Regions from separate parts of the Mus musculus genome. Here all the other regions are reported to be linked to region 3. The links are microRNA targets in miRTarBase. Many come from high-throughput screens and were not tested one by one. Region 3 holds a microRNA gene; each other region holds the end of a gene's coding sequence.
The links. The annotated mature microRNA mmu-miR-876-3p reads UAGUGGUUUACAAAGUAAUUCA and lies in region 3 at 1,591-1,612, opposite strand. An mRNA with a match to its seed (bases 2 to 7 or 8) in the 3' UTR can be bound and repressed. Matches are read on the target gene's strand: a 7mer-m8 pairs with bases 2 to 8, a 7mer-A1 pairs with bases 2 to 7 and ends in A, and an 8mer does both.

Region 1 (3,266 bases), not on the chromosome of region 3:
CTGACCCGAGTAAGCAAGTCCACCAAAGCATTGAAGAGTAATGGATAGGACATACTTCAGCTACAGAGAACAATACCTTCGAAGCTTTATAGAAGGACCCAACCCCAGAGACTGCTTTTATTCCACACAGGAAATGCAGTATCTTTTATAATCCAGAAATCCCTTCGGATTTATCCACAATCTATGCTTAACCACAAACCCACACGCCATCACACCTTGAAAACTAAAGGTTTATGCACCATCTTTGGCTCACATTAAAATACTGTCCTAGGCTGGATATGGTGGCATAGACTTGTAATCCAAGCACTCAGGAGGCTGAGGCAGGAGGATTATCAGTTCAAAGCCAGCCTGGACTCCGTAGCAAGACTCTAGCAAAAAACAAATTTAAAGGGTGTGTGTATGTGTGTAAATACAGACAGAAGGGGAATTCTGAAACAAGAATTGAGACTTTAAATGTTTTGAGGCTTCACAAAGATAATTATATTTTCTGGGCACCGCTATTAACAATGTTCTAACTTGCAAGTCTCATGTATGGGCTGGTTAGGATCACTGAAACTGTACTTTTCCTTTGTTTGCATAATATACACCGCATTGTGTTTAACATGATCTCAGAGTGTGTACCGAAACCTCTCAACTTTCTGTAAGGACCCGTTGATGCAGCACTAATAACCAAGCCAACAGTTTCTAAGAGAGGGACAGACAGATTTTGCAATTTAAACGCCAAAAGATGACCTCATTTCCTTGAGCCAGGGCATGTTCGAGGCCCTTCAGGAGTTCCTGATTTATTTTTCATTCGTTCCTCATCTTCACATTGAGCAATTCTGTTGAGCAGCCAAAGAATTTTCTAGGGGAAGATTTTAAGCTGAAACCAGAGACAAAGGGCACTGACTTTTGAAGTAGGTTGTAACCTTATTCGCTCCTAAATAAATAATCCCCGAACCCTGAAAAACCAAAACACACAAAAGTTTTTTTTTTTTTTTTTTTTTTAGGGGATGGGAGACACACAAGATCATGAACAGAAAGAGAAAGAAGCCCACTGATTTTTGTTTGGTTTTCTTTTCATCAGGATCACAAGGCCAGACAAAGTCGGGGGACAGCTCCCACACACGGAGCCCAGAAGTCTTCAGTGTGGCACCAGATTCAGGGTCACAGTCACATTTGAAAGAGCATGCTTCCTCTCACCCGGAGAGCTTTATGCCTGTTTTTGCTTTTGCATTAACTATGGACACAGAGTGCTAACTAGCTTAAATAAAAAATGCCTCCTAGTCTCTTAGAGCTACAAATTTCTAATTAAAAACAGGGTTAATTTACCTAGCAGATAAAAGTTACACAGATAGGAATGAGCCATGACCTCTCTCCCTGTAGGAAATGGCCATAATTTTCTGGTAGCACAGTTCATTGAAGGCTGATAGAAATGACCCCAAAGGCACTGGAAATAGTATCTTGCCCAGTGGAAAAGCCATACCCTAAATTTTGGGTGGAAATCTAATCTTCTAAACTCTTCTAGAACCTAGGAAATTCCTAGCCAACAATTCATCCTCTGATTCAATTTCTTTATTCCCAGTTTCTATTCCATGAAAAATGTAAGTACTGGGGGGAAAAATCACATTTAAGTCTCTTCACTAGTGAGTGTATAGGCTCTTATCAGACGCTAGAGTTCCACCTGGTGTGTGCATGACTTCATTTAACAGGCAGTGCAATAAAGCAAAGAGCAAGTGGGCCAGCAGGCTGCACAGTATACAAGCACTTAGCATTACACAAAAGTCGACTGGCTATAAAAGAGCTGTGAGACAGGAATTCAAGATTCACTGTGCCAAGAAAGAGTCATTCTCCTGTCTGGAAAACATGGATCAAAGATGCTTATTGCAATAAACAACCATCCATCTCTTCTCAGTAGCTGCTTTATATTAATGTAAGCCTCTGAGAGAGAGATTGTCCTAACATGAGTGGTTTTCTCTCTCTCTCTCTCTCTCTCTCTCTCTCTCTCTCTCTCTCTCTTTCTCTCTCTTTCACACACACACACACACACACACACACACACCTCAGTTTCAAGGGAAGTCTCTGTTCTGGTCTCTGCAATCATAACATTTGACCCTGATAACCGCATATCCTCGGGACATGACACGGAAAATAGACTGGTGGCTCTGTCACTCAGTTCTATGTCATTTGGGGTCATGGAGCATCAAGAGGACGACATGATTCCTACAAGTGGTTATAGCAGTTTAATTAGCCCTCATGACTCACAAGAGGTCCTGTCTGCTCCCCTGGGAGGTATCCTGAAAGAACTGCCTGGGGGAGATATCCCAAAAATTCACCTTTCACTCCCCAGACTCTTACGACCGCTCTCAGATAGATCCCAATCGGAACTGTATAACCTGAGTCTCACCCGATGCCTGTCAGTCTGGATGCTAATGGTCTGACTGATCCCCAGACTTCAGTCAATAAACAGGGGTAGATGAAAGCAGTTCTTAGCCAGAGATCCTGTGCAAAACCAAGACTATAAAAGAAATACAAGAGGGAAAAGCTTATGGGTGAAACTGGACTCTAGCCTCCTCCAGACAGGAAGTATGAAAACTAACCCCTCACTAGGAAACCTGGGGAAATGGGGACATTCAAGAGGTAATAGAGTATGCCTGTGGGTCTAACCTAGTGGCTTTCCCCAGTTAAATAAATGGTGTCAATAATAGCAAAACCAAAGCCAGCTAGACGAGCCCCTCCACTGTGAGTGCCATTAGACTCTGTCCTCTACCATGGCAGAGAAAATAAGTCACAGCCCCTGGCTCTCCTGCACGCAACGGGCACTGCATATCACACATCAGAGGTTCGTATGTTTTCGTCATCAAGGTTGAATACAAATGGCTTCTCCTTGGGGTGCTGGGGCTCCGACCTGTGCCTGACTCGAGAACTTGCCAGCACCCCTGTAGCTGTGCTCTCCCCAGGGTTAGGCATGAATAGAGAGTCCTCTGGAGCATGCTCCACCGACAACGGCTTTTCCTCAGCCTGGGGGACAGGTGTCCAGGGTTGCCAGGAGGAGGCCACCGAAGGGGCCTTACAGAGACCTCTTTTCTCTTCTGCTGGTGGCCGCCTTCTTGACAAGATGGAGTTAGGCGCGCTTGTAAGGGTAGAACTTCCAGGTCGAGTCAAAGAAATGGACCTTGAAAAGGACGGCTCCTAAACACAGAAAGAGAAGACAAAGTAAGGGGTTTTCCTTACAATGCTTGTCTCCAAGTCTCAAGAACCCACTCAGATGGTCAATTCAAACAGGG
Region 2 (3,266 bases), not on the chromosome of region 3:
ACTTTGGAGAGGGGGTATCTGACTTCCAATAATAAAAGGAATCAAGGCAAGTGCCCAAGTTAAAGCCTCAAAGAATTAGTTTTGTCCTCTATTTACCCAGATCCAAAGGCTCACAAATCATGACACATCTTCAGAGTAACTGTTAGAATATTCTAAGTGACCTGGTGATATGCAAAGCCTGCATCTTAACAAGGAGCATGCAGCTTGCATCAACTTCTTAACATTTTTCACTGAGACTTGGCTGAACTTCTTTACCAGGGTCCACAAATCTGTTGATTTTTCTATACTTTGCAGATACTTCTCAAATTCCCAGATGTTCCACTCACAGTTGCCTCATGACAGGCTGTTTTAATTATAAATATCCTTTTTAGGATTTGATATTTCATATTTTACCCCTTAGTGAGTTATCTAATACATTGAGCCCTAGAGAAGTGGTTCTCAACCTTCCTAATGCCACGAGTCTTTAATATAGTTCCTCATGTTGTGGTGACCCTCAACCATAAGATTATTTCATAACTAGTTCATAACTATACATTTGATATTGTTATAAATCATAATGGCAATCTCTGTTAGTCAGCATATCTGTTATGTGACCTACCCACCCCCAAAGGGGTTGCGATCCAGAAGTTGAAAACTGATGCTCCAGAGACTCAACCAACTCACGTCAACCAATCTCATAGAGAGTTCTTGTTTGGGTGATAAAGGCCAAGGTTCTCATCCCGTGTGAACTATCATACACTGAATCAATTAGCAGTCTCACCAGATAACTAGCTACTCTAGCAATACTCAACAATACTCGGTCAATATTTAATCACTTCATTTTTTATAAATGACTTTGTGACTTTTAAATTACAGCAAGTTCTACCTAATGTTGGATTTTTACAGAAGAGACAAGGTTTTTTGTTTTTGTTTTTAAATGAAATGATCTTTTTCAGATGCTGGCTCAGTTCTTTCATCCCAAGAAACCAGCAACATTTTTTTCAGTGACCACTTCACGATGGAGTCAGAGCATCTCATCTGAGTTTTAAGCTTTGTGTCTTCCTTCACTTCCAGGAATCTTGAGACTTCAGTCAGGATGTGATGGCCAACATGATGGAAAACTCACAAAAATCTTCCCTTGACACAGTACCACTTTTTCATCTCCAACTCCTTCTTTGTTCTCCACACTAAAGTTCCACAAATTCTCCACAGAAAGACCATCTCTACATATTTGATGCCACCACACTGACAATTTTGAATACATTACAGTTACACCCTCCATAAAAAGCCACATTAGAATAGATTTTGTCGAACTTTATGTTATATTCAAAGTACATGAGGAATTTGTGAAAACTGTTTTCTGGTCTGTATTACTGGGGTTTCTGATTAAGTAGGTTTGGGGTGAGAACCAAGAATCCTCATTTCTGTTAAGTTCCTAGCCTCCCATGCTGCTGTTCCTGGGACAGGCTAAGAACCACAACTTAGATTGTTCAGCAACGCTGCCTACCTAGTATCCTTCCTACCCGTCTTCTAGTTAAGACAGGCCAGACTCTTATAAGAATAAAGCCCTTTCCCATGCCATAGAAGGCACTTGTCTTTGACCTACAAATAGAAAAAGAACATGGATGACAAAGTAAGAAAACTCATGAGAATCTTGGCATGTGTTTCTAGATCATGGGGAAAAAAAGTAAGAAAAAGAAATCTGTTAAAGAAAGGAATTCTGGAAGACAGTGTCATTTATAAAATAAAACTACATAGGCTGGGTGAAGTGGTGCAGCCATGTAATTCTAGAAGTTGAGAGGCTGAGGCAGGAGCATTGCAAGCTTGAGGCCAGCAAGGGAAGAAAGGAAGGAAGGAAAGAAGGAAGGAAGTGATAGATTTGGAGGTACAAATATTAAACTGTATCTAATTGTTTAGCTGGTTCTTGGTTGTATACCATCCAAGATACTAGCTCGATTATGGGCTTAGGTATACAACATCAAGAACTAACTCTAGCTTAAATGTTTGGGACATTTGGTGATACTGTTCCCAGAAGCTCATCTTAGAGGAATAATCAAAACCATGGTTAAGCTGCTTGGTTTAATTTTTTTTTTAGCACTTGAAAAAAACGTACAGTAGTTTGAAGTCAGTCTTTGCAAACCTCGACAGAGGTCAAAGATTTCATTCATACGTACAAAATTAGTTACAAATTTTTTTTTTTTTTTGGCAATTTCATCTTAGTAACCCGTTTTATCCTATTGCCATTGTCCCAACCATTGAAAAAGTTTACAATAATTTACATAGAAATATCTTCAAAGTGCTTAAGAATAGTGATTGTTCTCTGGGATATGTACAGGTGGCCTATACAATGTATGTACAGGTGGGAGTCACTATAGCACAAGGTTCATTGCTGGAATATGGCTTTCTAGGGAAAGTGCATATTTGGCCAGAGATGGCAATACTGTCTAGGGGCTCAAGGGTTACAGATACTTGGTAACCACATCCAGAGCTGAAGTAGAATGTGGCCAAGAATATTTACAAAAGTAATATAAAAATGATCAAGTACTCAAACTTGATCCACAAAAAGATATCTTGATGTTCTTCCAGATGGGAGGAAGAAAGGAGACTTCAGCGCTGGCTCTGTTACCATTCCAGAGTAGGGTGTTATTGGTGTAGACCTCATAGACCAAGATTTGTTCAGAACTCAAGCCAGATCATCATCTGTGCTTACAACTGATATCTGCAGAGAAGACAAAGGTTCAGGTGAGCTTGGCGGTTACTCTACGGAGTGGACTTTGCTTTTGAGTAGGCCATTTAAAGACCAAAAGAGTTGGAGGTCAGAAACATAACATTATTATTTTTTTTATGTACCCCAAGCTGAAAATCTAAAATTCAAAAGGGGATTCCAAGTCTGAAATCTTCTGAGTATCACCATGACACTACAAAAGAAAAATTCTACATCTAACCTTATATTATTGGTTGTGGTCAAAATGAACATACATCAAAATGTCATGTAAAGTGTATATAAAACAAATGGATTTTGTGTTCAAACTTCTTATGTATGCAAAAACTTCAAAATCCATGCCCCTCTGAACACTTTGGACACCAAGTATTTTAAATATGGGATATTTAACTTGTACCTACTTGGTTGGAAAAAAACTTTGACTGATTCTGTTTACGGACTATAAATCTTAAAGACAAATGTGAAAAGATATATGATATGCACTGAACCTTACTCCCTGTTCCACCAGAGATCATGCAAGGACACTGTTCATGTTCATCATGGTTCAGTCAGCATGGTCCTGAAG
Region 3 (3,266 bases):
TTTTAATGTATAATGGAAAAACTTTTTGATTTGTTAGGACATTGTAATGATACCTAAACTTGTAAACAAGATGTATTAGCTCTAATATAGCAAGACAAAAATAACTTCAGAAGAGAAATAATAGATTGATTCAATGATGATTCATAAGTAATTTCAGAATCCTGTTCATTATCATTTAGGAATGTAATGGTGTCACAAGAAATCGGAGATAAATACAATCTATCACTACGAAAATCTTGTTGCCATATGACTGAGCTTAGATTACACCTAAGTTCTAGCCTTCAAATAGAAGAGCTCATATACCAAAACTAAACAAAATTTTTGGAGCTTATACCAGCGATTGAAAAACTAATGGTGAAAGGTTGGGTTTCTGTTTCTAGAATCAGCACATTTAACAACACTAATGAGGGTAATAACCATGAACTTCCTGTTGTTTCCCAGCAACTGGTAGGTAACATGATAGCAACTATACTCTTTAGCCTTGTGAAACTTACTCATTTTAAAGATTATTCTAACACTATGAGTATGTATATGAGTGCATCTGTGTGTGGGAACATGCACATTAGTGTAAGGTCCAACATAGGCCAATAGAGAGTGATAGAGAGTGTCAGATCTCTTCAGCTGAACTTATTGGTTTCTGTGATGCATATGATGCAGGTGTGCAGCAAATTGTACCCTGGTTCTCTTGATGCACAATCCAAGTTCTCAAACATTGACGATGGCTTTAGACTCTTACTAAATTTCTTTGCCATTAAAAGATGACAGAAGCTAAATTTGTAGAGAATTAATGATAAATAATGGCAAATTAAGTATACAATTTTGTATATTTTGGCTAATTCTGTGTCTGTATCATTTGAATAGTATTAAAATTTAGTTACTTTTAAAATTATTTTAAAATAATGATGTTTATAAATTCCCTGATTAATTTCTATTTGAATTGCATAATCAGTAAAGTCACTGGATAAGCTCTCTGTAAAAATGTTTCCTCTTTATTAATATATATATATATATATATATATATATATTTGTCCAAGTAATAGTAACAGAATTAAATTTCAAAATGTTTCACTTATAATTAATGGGTGCAGATGTCAATTCAGTGCTTTTGTTTTGGATCTACTGCATTTTTAAAAATAGGGCATACTGCCAATTGTTGGGGCAGGTGTTGCTAAAAAAAACAAGAACAGACTGTGCATAAATGTAAAATACACACACACACACAAACACACACACACATATATATGTGTGTGTGTATATATATATATATATACATATATATATATATATATATATATATATATATATATATATATGAGATATGAGATGGCCTGGCAATATGTAATAGGCAGTCCTCAAATGCTGCCATCCTCCTGCCTCAGCTTCTCAGGTGTTATATTACAAGCAAGTTACAATATATGTAGCTTAATTTTCCAGTGCTTGACATATCTTTGCTTCTTGTTCTCTAATTAACAAAGTAACTGTTTATGAAAGGTTTAAATCTTATAGCTTAAGGATTTGTTCTCAATGGCCCAATGAAGGATCCTAGGTTTCAAAATACAGATCAACTGTAGGAGCACCTGTGAAGCACTATGAATTACTTTGTAAACCACTACCACACTAGATTTGATATAGTGATTCACAGAGAAATCCATAGCACGTGACAGTTTATGTAATGCTTGTACACATGAACATAAAAATTATATGCTACCATGCCCAGAGTTTGAAAAATTATTCAAGACATCTTTTTATCGTTCATATGGCATTAAAATATAATTTAATTTAATTTTAACAACATTTGAGCAAGAGAATAAACATTCATGAATCAACAGGTTTTATATATATAGTATTATAATATATACATTTTTAATTGGTAAAATAATAAGAAACACTGAAAAAATCTGAAAAATACATAAAACCAAATTATACTTTCCGTATTATGTATCAAGGTAGATCAATTAGAGGAATGAGCAAGAACAACCAAGAGATGAAAGAGAAGTAAAATGCCCACTATGCTCATAGAATTGAGATATGGATATTAATATAACCTGTGGGAGGAGAGAAGTAAAATAAGGAATGACATTTCATACGTGCATCTCACATTACAACATACACATGATGTGGTTGTTTTGCTCTAAAAATAGTCTCAGTTAGCCTACATGTATTTTGCATAAGTTCTTAGATTTTATCTGATTTTTTTTCTATCTTAAGTTTGAGTTCTGCATGTGATTGGCTGAAACTCTCTGAGGCTACTTAAATATATGTTAGTTTCCTCACTAGGTTCAGCTTTGAGAAACAAAACAAAACAAAACACCAAAGTAACTGAAAAAAATCTCTAATGGGCACTGCTTTAATAAATTCACAGGAATGAAACATCTTTCGTTTTTCTCCTTTGTTATGTTTGCTTCAATGGTAACATTTATCTAAAGATTTAAAAGAAAACTAGAATTTTAATTTATGATCATTAAAAAGAAAATAATTTTTAAATTTTAATGGACTAGGATTATATCTCTCAGGCCATCTATGGATTTGAGAATTTTGACTTTTTGTATGTATACCATGAATGTCAATAATAATTAACATACAATATTTTTCAGAAATTTGCAAATCTAACATCTTAGTGTGTTCAAAACTGTCACTACATATCACTGTGCATTCCCAAGTAAAACAGGGAAGTAAGGCCAGACTGGCTGGCTAAGCAAGGAAAAACTTTAAGTGGAAAATAAATTGTAAAATTATTTACACATTCATATATACTTACCGTATGGCTGGTATATGACGTACATAATGCTTGCCAGGTATAAGGAAGTAAATGCAAACCCAATACATACCCTAGCTTCAAGAAACAGATAAAACAAAATAAATAAAACCAACAAGAACAATTGTGTTCCTTAAAAAGGGTCCACATAGATTGCTTTAGAGTCCACATTATCCAGTCATAGCAGGAGGTTTCTGTGAGAAATTACTTAGTTGAAAAATTGAAGGTACAATACAATTTAGCAATGAGGATAGGATTAGAACATTTGAAGCAGACGGGGCACATTAAAAACAGTAGAAAGAAGAAATTAAAATGTCATCTGTTCTCTGCTACACTACTGCTGAAAGTAGAAAATTACACAAAATTTAGATATAAGTGAAAACTAGCAAGCATGTCCAGATTGTAGACAACAAATGAGAGAAATTAGAAAATAAAGATACTAAGCAACATTAAGCCTGAGAAATGTGCATGACAGATGTGCATGGCAGATGTGCATGACAGATGTGCATGG

Region 1: the mRNA of Plekha2 is a reported target of mmu-miR-876-3p. Seed matches in the 3' UTR shown: 7mer-m8 at 2,208-2,214 and 7mer-m8 at 1,946-1,952.
Region 2: miRTarBase lists Vldlr as a target of mmu-miR-876-3p. Seed matches in the 3' UTR shown: 7mer-m8 at 431-437.

Annotation. Positions count from the first base shown.
Region 1 is chr8:25,039,868-25,043,133 of GRCm38, forward strand. Plekha2 (pleckstrin homology domain-containing, family A (phosphoinositide binding specific) member 2) reads right to left here. Exons shown (of 12, transcript NM_031257.3): 12 at 1-3,171. The coding sequence ends at 2,809. Among named protein-coding and RNA genes, the nearest start is that of Htra4, 2.5 kb to the left of the region's middle.
Region 2 is chr19:27,248,537-27,251,802 of GRCm38, reverse strand. Vldlr (very low density lipoprotein receptor) reads right to left here. Exons shown (of 18, transcript NM_001161420.1): 18 at 1-2,698. The coding sequence ends at 2,663. All of the region lies in intron 3 of Gm35438 (a long non-coding RNA gene), which reads left to right. Among named protein-coding and RNA genes, the nearest start is that of Vldlr, 33 kb to the right of the region's middle.
Region 3 is chr4:36,643,793-36,647,058 of GRCm38, forward strand. Mir876 (microRNA 876) reads right to left here and starts at 1,661; the gene lies at 1,581-1,661. All of the region lies in intron 2 of Lingo2 (leucine rich repeat and Ig domain containing 2), which reads right to left.